2 linked regions of the Arabidopsis thaliana genome follow. The protein of the gene in region 1 interacts with the protein of each later gene in a pairwise test. Each region holds a gene or a part of one and is shown in the gene's direction. Other genes may lie near its edges. The genes, in order: ATHM2 and G6PD4.

Region 1 (4,650 bases):
GAACTACTCCGACGAACACTCTTTCCATTTCGTTTACCCATGGAGAATCGAAACAGCTAACAAATGAGACTGGATCGCAAAGGAAACGAAGAGAAAACGTGTAGAAGTTCAAGAGAAGAAAAAAAATGAGAAGATGAACAAACTCCGGTGAGATTCCAGTGAAATCAAATCGGAAAAGTTTGTTACGAGACTGAGATCGAGATATTTTGCTCTGATACCATATTAGTAAAACAATCTCATTCTCATTAATTAGCAAAAGAGTACAATTGGGGGTTTATATACAAACTGATATTGGCCTAAACCATAAGCCTCTAAACCAAAATTAAGATTGGTTTATAGAATACCAACCTGTACAGACTCTATATGAAATCTATACTAACCAAACTAAGCTTATATACAACAATCTAAGCTATATACATTAATAGACGAAATTTTTAAACAAAACCCAGGATTCGAACATCAAATAACCCATCCCCAACGCAACAAATATTATCAACCAACTTTTCATTTCATCAATGACACTGTGAATCATATAAAAGAGATATGATGTCGGTGTTGAAGATAACTTCTTTATTGTAAGATTATTTTGATCGAATAAGCTGCCTCAAATCTTCTAATTTCGACAACTCTTTATCTGTGAGGACACTATGAACACGTTTGTAAAAATCCATCACTTGGTCTCTAGCTACCACCATTTTCTTTCTTCGCATAGGGCTGGGGAATAATGAGTTCTTACAGTGAAAACATAAGTGGTGACCGGACGCATTGAACCTAACATCGTAGAAAACATTGAGGAAATTTTTGTAACATAATAAAAAGAGACATGTGGAAAGAGAAAACAAAAATAAAACAAAATATTGAGAAGAAACCAAGAAAGGAGGAATTTCTTTAGTAGAGAGATCTACCGAGATTATAAAGAAATTGAGGAGTAGAAGAGATGTCAGCGAGCTAAAGTGACATCAGAGGAAAGACTTTGAAGTGGTTCCTCAATACTAGAGGTATATAAGAAAAAGAAAAAGAGGCAGATCCAAAATGTTGGTTTTGAAAGTTTTATAGATTTTTAAGATTTTGTTTTTGTTTTCATTTTTCAAGAGCTAATTGTCATACCATTACCAATCAAGTTTTAAAATGTTGGTTTTCCAAGAAAATACTTTTGCTATAATCTTTTTTTTTGTCATCAGATATTATTTAGGATTCAACGAACCAATTTTGAAGAAAATTGTTAACAAAAGCGAATTTTTCATGCCAAATAGTTTTTTATTCAAAATTTTAGACTTTTAGTTATCTTATAAGCAAGCGTTATAATTTATTTATTTTTTTAAAGAAAATTTTGAGAAAAACAATTGCGAAAAAATGTCAGGAGATCTTCAAATGTTCAAAAATACAAAAAAAAAAAAAAAAAAAAAAAAATTAGTGTGGGGTAAAATAATACGTTTAAATTTTATTGACTTTTCATTTCAATAGTCAACTTTTAGTGACTTCTTATTTCAGTCGCTAACTTTTTGTTGATGTTGCCAAAATAGTCATTAAATTGACCCGAGATCACAAATTGCGGGTAACGGAACTTTGTTAAAATTTCTGTTAAATCCACAAGTGACTGGATTAAAAAAAAAAAGTGCAACTGGCCTAATATGAGCCCAATAAAAAATATCTCAAAAGTTTTATGGGCTTATTACAGATGGGCTTAGTCAGAGCACTATCTTACCCAAACAATTAAAAAAACAATTTACAATATGTTTTCGTTTTCTACTTTTTTCGGTTATTTTGGGCAAATGATATCTACAGCTCAACAAATCAAAAAAATTCAAAAATATTTCAATTTATTATTTCTCGATTTTTTTCACAACTGTATTTTAATTGTATTTTTAGTAGAAATACTTATTTTTCCAAAAATATTTGTTTGTGTTGATGTATATATAAAAAATCTGCATCAGTGTTTTGTCTACATTTTCTCTTCCATTAGTTTCGTTATCTTTTTATTTTCTCTATCTATCTGGATATTATTTTTTCACTTGGGGATTTGGAGAAACCTCTCCTCTCTCTATCTATAGCCATGGCTGCTTTCACTTGTACCTCTCGTCCTCCGATTTCTCTCCGCTCCGAGACCAGAATCGTATCCTCATCACCATCGGCTTCTTCTCTCTCTTCTCGGCGGATGTTCGCCGTCTTACCGGAATCATCAGGTTTGAGAATCCGTCTTTCTCTCTCTCCGGCTTCGTTGACCTCGATTCATCAACCTAGGGTTTCTCGATTACGAAGAGCCGTCGTCTGTGAAGCTCAGGAAACTACTACCGATAGTATGTTTTCTCACTATTCCTTTTTCGATTTTGGTTATTAACTTGTCTTTGATTCGTGCTCGTTGGTGGATTTTGAGAACTGATTATTGATTTGTGCGAGGGAAATTAGAAGCAAGGTGCTTGAATTTGTGTTGTTGTTCTTGTTGTAGCATTTAGTAATCTGCTAAAAACTTGAGATTAGTTACAGATTAGTGAATCTGGAGGAGGAAGAAGAGTTTCTTTAGGAGAGTATACCTTTTGAGAAAATTCTTGCTGAAAATGAGGTTTCTGTTAGAGGAACGATTCATGCCATTTGCGTGAAATTTGAAGAAGGTTGCTTTTTAGGATCACTTCTTTTTTGGGGATATTTTACTTGATTAATGCAAAGTCTCTCTAACAAACCTAGAAATTAGGTTGGGTACCTACTCAGATATTTTATTGGTTGGATCATACACATTGTGACAAGAAACAGTTATTTGGCTCATGAGAGAAGAATGTTGCTTTTTGTGCTTTAGAGTAAACATATCTTGATTCTCTATACCAGCAGATAACGATTTTGGTTATCACTAGCATTGATATTCTACGATTTTAGATAGGTAAGTCCTTTTCCGTGATAATGTGTTTGGTGAGATTAGCAGTATTATCTGCTACAATGTTAACTCAGTCATTGGTCTCTCCTCTCTGGTGAAAACATAAAGCTTTATCCTTCACTGGATCTATCAAATTTCTATTTTGAAAAACTTTCACTTCTAGATCATTTTTAGGAAATATCATATAGACTTGCTACAACATACTGATCTAGCTGAAGATGGATAAACGGGTCAGCTGTCTCTTTGTTTTATTCGTCCACCTTGGCTGATATATTTTGTTTTCATTCATGATTCTAAAAGCTTTGGCAATAAGGTGTTGATTTGTGTTATTGATCCTGCAGTTCAAGTGGTCAATGACTCGACATGGGACTCTCTAGTTCTTAAAGCAACTGGGCCTGTAGTTGTCGACTTTTGGGCACCATGGTGTGGACCTTGCAAGATGATTGATCCGCTTGTAAACGATCTAGCACAGCATTACACTGGGAAGATCAAGTTCTACAAATTAAACACTGATGAATCTCCTAATACTCCCGGCCAGTACGGAGTTAGAAGCATCCCAACGATCATGATCTTTGTCGGTGGCGAGAAGAAGGATACAATCATAGGTGCAGTGCCCAAAACCACACTCACATCTAGCCTCGACAAGTTCTTGCCATGAAATATCACTTGTGGAGTCTGTAAGATCTCGTATCTCTCTGTCTCTCGTTCTTGTTCTCATTATCTCTGTAACTCATTATCACTGAACATCTAGACCTGGATAAATAATATGATGTCATGTCTTATGTCATTTTTACTGGTTTGAAGATGTTTTGAGATGCGGAACTAAAGGTATCAAAGAACAATCTTGGACTAGACTAATGGAACCACATTAAAATGATTCCACCAATCTTTTTTTGGTCATGAGAGAGATCTTAAGATTGTTTGGTTCTGCAAGTTTTTTGATGAACACACGCTAAGGTTTGTTACTTATTCTAAAACTCCTCGTATTAAAAGATATTATGCGACACTCTAATGAATGAGCACATGTATGCAAAAGGGGCTAAAGGTTCATACATGTCCTAATCTAAAGAAAGAATATACGTATTCAGCTGAAAAAGGTCTTTATCGACCACGAGCAAAAGAGAATAAATACGTTCGAAATATCTCCTTATTTTTGCATAAGCAAAGAAATTCATCCACCATAGTTTATGTGTACCCAATTTGTGGATAAGGATATGTCAATTAGGACAAAATGAATAATAGCCGAAAGAATTGAGTTATTTTTGGACTGATCCCACAGTTCCCGACAAGCTTTTGAGGTTTTAGAGTTGTTGATCCGGTCTATGACTAAAGTTCGACCAAAACCAAGTTATTTAGTTTGGACAATATAAATCAGAAATATCAAGAAGATAAATTATATGATTAGTTCATAAAGTTTTAGTTTTAGATTGCCAAGAAAATATTCTAATATATTAGGTCTGAACGAAAGTGTTAAATCTGATGAAACCTCTCTATTGGTAATGTCTTTTTTTTTTTTTTTTGGTTGCCGTCCTTGGTTTGAGAATTATATATTTAGGCTGAAGATAAGGTCAAAAGAAAGATGCAATCCGGTTTTATAATAATAGATCAGTTGGACTTTTATAAATGCATTTTCGTGACTTTTGTTTGTATCAAACAACTTTCATTATAATATTATGATTTGGACTTTGTAAATGGTCTTCTCGTGTCCTTTTGATTGTATCAACTTTCGCGACCTAAGAAGTCACGACGACGTACATAAATGGAACATGAGCATAATGATCAAA
Region 2 (5,991 bases), on another chromosome or scaffold:
TGAATGGTCAGTAACATTACTTTCAAGTCTTTCCTGTCTGAGTCACAAAAGTGGTGTTTTTAGAAAAGCTGGATGCTTAAACCTTCTCATCTAAACCATGGATGAAGTTCTCTGTAGAACTGAGGACCCTTCCAAATGGCAGAGGAAATTCAATGTCTCCCCACCTGTATTAATAAAACTTATCAATCCAATGAGTTTCCACCGGAAAAATTGATTGCGGGTCTCTCACCGGGAACTTAGAAATGTTAGACATACTTGTTGAAATTCTTGAAGGCAGCAGTGTCATCTAATTCTCCTCTCATATCCAGAGGGAATGGTTCTCCATCGACTAGTGTAAAAGGATTCATCTCCATAAAACTGAAATCCAAATCTTTAAAGAAACACACAAGTAGATAATAAGAAGATGTCCTTGAGAGATCTCGAATCAGAGCAAAGTCAAGAAGTGGCCTAATCTAATATACTCATACCTTGAAATACAGCAAAGGCACCCATTATGAAGTTGCCGATTTTAGCTCGAACCTGAAATAGATAGAAGCATTTGTTAGAGCAGGCATAGCATAGTTCAAAACAACCTAAATTATTAATCTCCTTAAAAAAGAATGCAAGTACTGAGCAGCCTAAGTTCAGACTAACAGATCTTTGAATTTGCATAGGATTGAAAGTAGAACACCATACAAAGACCGAAAATGTACGCACATCAAAACCAGATTTCTAGGGTTATCTAAAGCAAATAGTTGCAGGGTGCCGCTGGCTTACTAGGAAGTTAATCACAGGGGAACAGAAACTTACCTCAAGAGGAAGAGTTGCTATTAATGGAGCACATACTTCTAGCGTCATCGACTTTTCCGCAGGAAGAAATATAGTCTTCACCTGTTGATACCAGAAAACCAAGTTCCCCAGGAGAAAACAACAGAAGTGAGTCGAAAAAGATAATGCAACAAAACAAGAAAAGAAGCACAAAAAAAAAAAAAAAGGTAGTACTTTGTCCCAATTCTCTTCTATTTCAATGCCACCACATTCAGAGAAGCTTATAGTGCATCCAAGTCTATCAGATACTATAGAGAGGTAGTATTCTTGATCATGAGGCACAAAAGGCTCCACAATGAATGTAGTGATAGGTGCTTTACATCCCTCCATCTCGACCTGCGACTCATAAACAAACATCAATACCACAACAAAATTTACCAGCTGATCTATAACTCTGGCTGCGATGAGTCACCTCAGTGCCGAGGCGGGCTTTGACAAAGTCTGCAACTTCAGCAAGATCCAGCTTTAGAGCTACCAAACCACTTTTCCCGCGTTTCCCAAATAGCATATCCGGTTTCACAACTAGCTTTGTGGACGATAGCCATGACTCCTGGTTGGTTAACTCAGTGAAATCCGTAGATTCTGTCACCTAAAAGTATACAACAATAAACGAATCACCCATCATCAGTAGTTCTAGTAATCAACTAATCATGCCATGTCCAAAGTCATCAGTAGAAAGAGATCTTTCCCAAGATTCTCACTTTCATTAGCTCTATCTAAGTCCAAGATTACTCTCAATAACATTCAGACAAAACACGATTCATTCAAGAGTTCCAATTGAATTGTGCTATCGAATTTCCACAAAGCAGATCGATGAAAACAAAACTAGAATTCGTGAGAATGACCTGAGCAGAGCGAATCTGCAGGTCAATATTAGCAAGACGCTTCAAATGCTCCTTGAGAAGTCTCTTGGAGTCATATTCTCTGATCTTCTTCCTCGCCATCGAATTACAAACAGTGATCGTCCTCAACACTAAACCACGGAAAGTGTTTCTCCGCCTGAAGTAGCTGAGAAGAAAAGGTGACAATTTTCGAGACGATAAGATCGATGAAGTTGAGAAGAAGATGATCTCACCAACTCAACGATGACGCCGACTCGGCGGGACCAGAAGAGACGTTGACGTTGAGATATCGAAAGTCAACCTACCCACCCCCGCCTAAACCACAAATTCAATTCTCTTTCCTCGAGAACCAACCGGTACGGTTCGGTTTAGAAGAACCCGACGATTATCTGAAAGTTGGAACCATTAATGGAGGCGTCAATCAGAAAACTTAAACTTGCACTCGTCTTCCACTTTGATCCACTTAAAGCAGCTTTAAAGCTTTGAACATGTTTAGCTATAATCCCTGAGGAACTATCCTCATGTCTCTCTCCAGTTGCTTGCTTCCCTTTTCTCAATCAGCGACGGCTCCGTCTTCCTCCGTCTGCTCTTGCCATCTCGCCGCCTCTTTTTCTAATTTTCCGGTAAGCACATGTATTCGCTCTACCTTTCATGCATGCTTTCGTTTTATCAAAAGGTCATTACTTTGAGAAACAAAGATTATTATTTTTCTTGGATTATGCTAATGTTTTCTGCAATCTCACCAAAGATCTCAAATTCGTGTTACATGCCCTCTGAATCTAAGCTTTAGTATATTATTGACCTTCGAAATCAACTTGATTTCTAGTTGTTGAAATTTCTCTATTTTGTGTGAATAGGTTTCGTCAAGAGACTATAGTTTCTCCAGAAGTGGAAGCCTTGTTCTCAACGGAGGAGGCTCGAATCTCTGCCGGAGATTCTGTGGTTTGAAACTGTGGATACTTAAGAGCTTGAATCGTAGACAAGGCAACAACAGAAAACATCAGCCTGTAAACGAGCTTACAACACACTCAAAGCACACTTTCCTCAGCGATGATGAACGAGGTCTAGTTCTAAGATATGAGTCAATTTACATCTCATGTCTTCACTTGATCATTCTTTAGCACTTCCTGAGGTAGAATGTGATGCAGGTTTTGCTGAAGAAACTAGAGCTGAAGATTTACGACCAGAAGAGAATATTCTGGGAACGGATTTGAATGATGGGTTTCACAATGTTGGAGACTTACCACCTGTGTCAAAACAACTCTCGGATGATCTTTCAGATGTTCGAAGAAGGGCCTCACTTTGCATTGCTGTTGTAGGAGCCACTGGTGAGCTAGCAAGAGGGAAGATTTTCCCGGCATTGTTTGCGTTGTATTATAGCGGCTACCTTCCTGAGGTATGACTTTTGTGCTCATGAACAATTACAAAGTAAGCAGCAAAACAGTTGGATAGTTTTTTTCGGTTGTCTTCTTGATTGGTCTTCATTGTCACAGGATGTTGCTATATTTGGGGTTTCAAGAAAGAATCTGACAGATGAAGACCTCAGATCCATCATTGCATCAACGCTGACTTGCCGTGTTGATCATCAGTATGTATAATTCTTGGTACTACCTTAAATTTGGTATCTCTGATATACGGCCGTGCTAGCTAAAGAATGATGCTAAATGTTCAGGGAGAATTGTGGGGGCAAGATGGATGCATTTCAGAGTAGAACATACTATATCAATGGAGGTTATAATAACAGGGATGGGATGTCCCGACTTGCCGAGAGAATGAAACAGATTGAGGTTCCTAAGTACCTTTTTTTCTTTCTTTCAATGATTACATTTTGTCCCAGAAGTAGTCCTCTTTCTGAGTTTACAACATTTTGAACAGACAAGCAAGATAGAATAAGACATTAACAGCTTTTCTTCTTCAGGGAGAATCAGAAGCAAATAGAATCTTTTACCTCTCAGTACCTCAAGAAGCTCTGGTGGATGTGGCATGCACCATTGGAGATAACGCTCAGGCACCACGAGGCTGGACTCGAATAATAGTTGAGAAACCTTTTGGTTTTAACTCACATTCGTCTCATCAGTTAACAAAGTCACTTCTCTCTAAGTTTGAAGAGAAGCAAATCTACAGGTCCTTCTTTTAAATCTAGTTGCTTTCTGCATGCACAGCTCTCAAGTTCATATTTCTTCACACTTCTGTGCCCGTTACAGGATAGATCACATGTTAGGAAGAAACCTCATTGAAAATCTGACAGTGTTAAGGTTTTCAAATCTAGTTTTTGAACCACTATGGAACAGAACATACATACGCAATATACAGGTAGTGTTTCCTTCTGATTGTTTGTAGTTGTGTATAGTGCCTGAACTTTCCTCTTCCACATTCTGGTTTGTTCACTTTGTGTATAAATGATGTTTCCAGGTTATTATATCAGAATCAATTGCGCAAACAGAAAAGTAAGGCACAATAGTTCTATTTTCACCATTTCTTTGCATGTGAGAGTAAATTGTGTTGTTTCAGCATTCTTAGACAAATCAGTAATGTTATTTTCTAATTTCCTACTGCTTTTTTTAAGGTTTTCTGATGGATATGGAATAATACGGGACATAGTGCACAGCCATATACTTCAGACAATCGCATTACTTGCCATGGAACCTCCGATAAGTCTCGATGGTGAAGATATCCGAAATGAAAAGGTCAACCTGTACTGTAAAGAACAAAATCGTCTTATGGTATATATGTAAGTTGTGTACTCTTGTTCTGTCAAGTGACTTGGTGACAAACCTGCTTCTGCAGGTGAAGGTTTTAAGATCAATTCGCAAGATAGACCCGCGTGATGTCATCCTTGGCCAGTATAAATCCAGTTCCCGAGACAAGAACGGTGTGATCTTGAACGGTGTAGACCCTACATATTGTGCAGCAGCCTTGTATATTGATAATGCACGTTGGGATGGTGTACCTTTCCTTGTAAGAGTTGGCACTGGCCTCATTAAACACAGGTAAGAATAATTATTCCTACTCATAGACATATCCAACTGTCATAACAATTGATTGGTGTGCCTTAATGTTGAAAGAGTGGAGATTCATGTGCAATTCCGGCATGTTCCTGGAAACCTATACCGAGAAAATATTGGAATAAACATAGATTTGGGGACAAATGAGCTTATTCTACGTGACGAACCTGATGAGGCCATCCTGGTGAAAATCAACAACAAGGTTCCTGGTTTAGGTCTTCAGCTAGACGCTTCTGAACTTAACTTGCTCTATAAAGACAGGCAAGTTTTGCATTCTCATCTTTGTTCCTACACATTTTAAAAATCGAACTTTTGCGCCTTATGGTTGGTTGAATTGTTGGATCAAACCTGTAGGTATAAAACCGAAGTACCAGACTCATATGAACACCTAATTCATGATGTAATTGACGGAGACAATCATCTGTTCATGAGAAGCGATGAGGTTGCAGCAGCATGGAACATTCTTAGTCCGGTTCTAGAAGAGATAGACAAGCATCACACAGCTCCGGAGTTGTATGAATTTGGTGGACGAGGACCAGTTGCGGCATACTATCTTTGGGCCAAGCACGGTGTCCCATGGGCAGATGACTGAAGAAGAAACATAGATGCAGCAACAAACAAATGAGAGTGATTCTGAATGGTTATTGTGAAGTGTGTTTGTTTAGCTTGAAGCTGTGCCATTCCCTGTAGACTGTACATATGTACACATGTATGTCATGTTGCTATATGAATGTCCATCATGGTGGGGTCCATAATAGTGTTGAAAAGTCTCCAAAGCCACCCAAAGGAAAGAAGAAAGTCTGAGAGACTTTTAGATAAGGTCATGTTGTTAGTCTTCCCACTAGAGGCAATAATTATATCTTCTCCACCAATTCCTCCAGAAAATTCTTCCAGATGTATCATGTGTTGATGATCAAAGTAGGATGAAAATGATGTAACTAAAGAGAAACATTTTCATAGGGGAAGGAAGAGAGAGCGGTTCAATGGACAGAGACAGAAAGAGGGTGAAAATGGAGAAGGAAGATGACGAAGAAGAAAAGATGGAGAAGTTGTACACAGTGCTTAAAAACGCAAGGGAAATGCGGAAATATGTCAACAGCTCCATGGAGAAGAAGAGACAGGAAGAAGAAGAAAGAGCAAGGGTTCGTAGATTCCCTTCGTTTCAGCCAGAAGATTTCATTTTCATGAATAAAGCAGAGGCCAACAACATTGAAAAAGCAGCTAATGAGAGCTCTTCAGCATCCAACGAGTATGATGGCTCTAAGGAAAAGCAAGAAGGATCTGAGACTAACGTTTGTTTAGACTTGAATCTTTCTCTGTAGCATACATACATACAA

Evidence for each region.
Region 2: the proteins of ATHM2 (region 1) and G6PD4 interact in a two-hybrid assay, tested with the Arabidopsis thaliana proteins (one study listed by BioGRID).

What each region holds. Positions count from the first base shown.
Region 1 is NC_003075.7:1,561,459-1,566,108, reverse strand, and holds ATHM2 (Thioredoxin superfamily protein), read left to right. Parts: upstream 1-1,904; 5' UTR 1,905-2,053; coding exon 2,054-2,297; intron 2,298-2,713; exon of another isoform or gene 2,714-2,872; intron 2,873-3,207; coding exon 3,208-3,524; 3' UTR 3,525-3,906; downstream 3,907-4,650. UniProt on the Arabidopsis thaliana protein: Thiol-disulfide oxidoreductase that may participate in various redox reactions. May activate NADP-malate dehydrogenase.
Region 2 is NC_003070.9:3,037,895-3,043,885, reverse strand, and holds G6PD4 (glucose-6-phosphate dehydrogenase 4), read left to right. Parts: upstream 1-2,012; 5' UTR 2,013-2,170; coding exon 2,171-2,272; intron 2,273-2,506; coding exon 2,507-2,711; intron 2,712-2,797; coding exon 2,798-3,045; intron 3,046-3,142; coding exon 3,143-3,237; intron 3,238-3,321; coding exon 3,322-3,436; intron 3,437-3,567; coding exon 3,568-3,773; intron 3,774-3,853; coding exon 3,854-3,962; intron 3,963-4,061; coding exon 4,062-4,096; intron 4,097-4,215; coding exon 4,216-4,372; intron 4,373-4,436; coding exon of another isoform or gene 4,437-4,442; coding exon 4,443-4,639; exon of another isoform or gene 4,640-4,714; coding exon 4,715-4,915; exon of another isoform or gene 4,916-4,942; intron 4,943-5,008; coding exon 5,009-5,246; 3' UTR 5,247-5,417; downstream 5,418-5,991. Other genes in the region: ACLA-3 (ATP-citrate lyase A-3), read right to left, coding at 83-164, 256-370, 468-519, 790-870, 982-1,143, 1,220-1,396, 1,653-1,751; NIMIN-3 (NIM1-interacting 3), read left to right, coding at 5,638-5,976. UniProt on the Arabidopsis thaliana protein: Seems to be a catalytically inactive enzyme.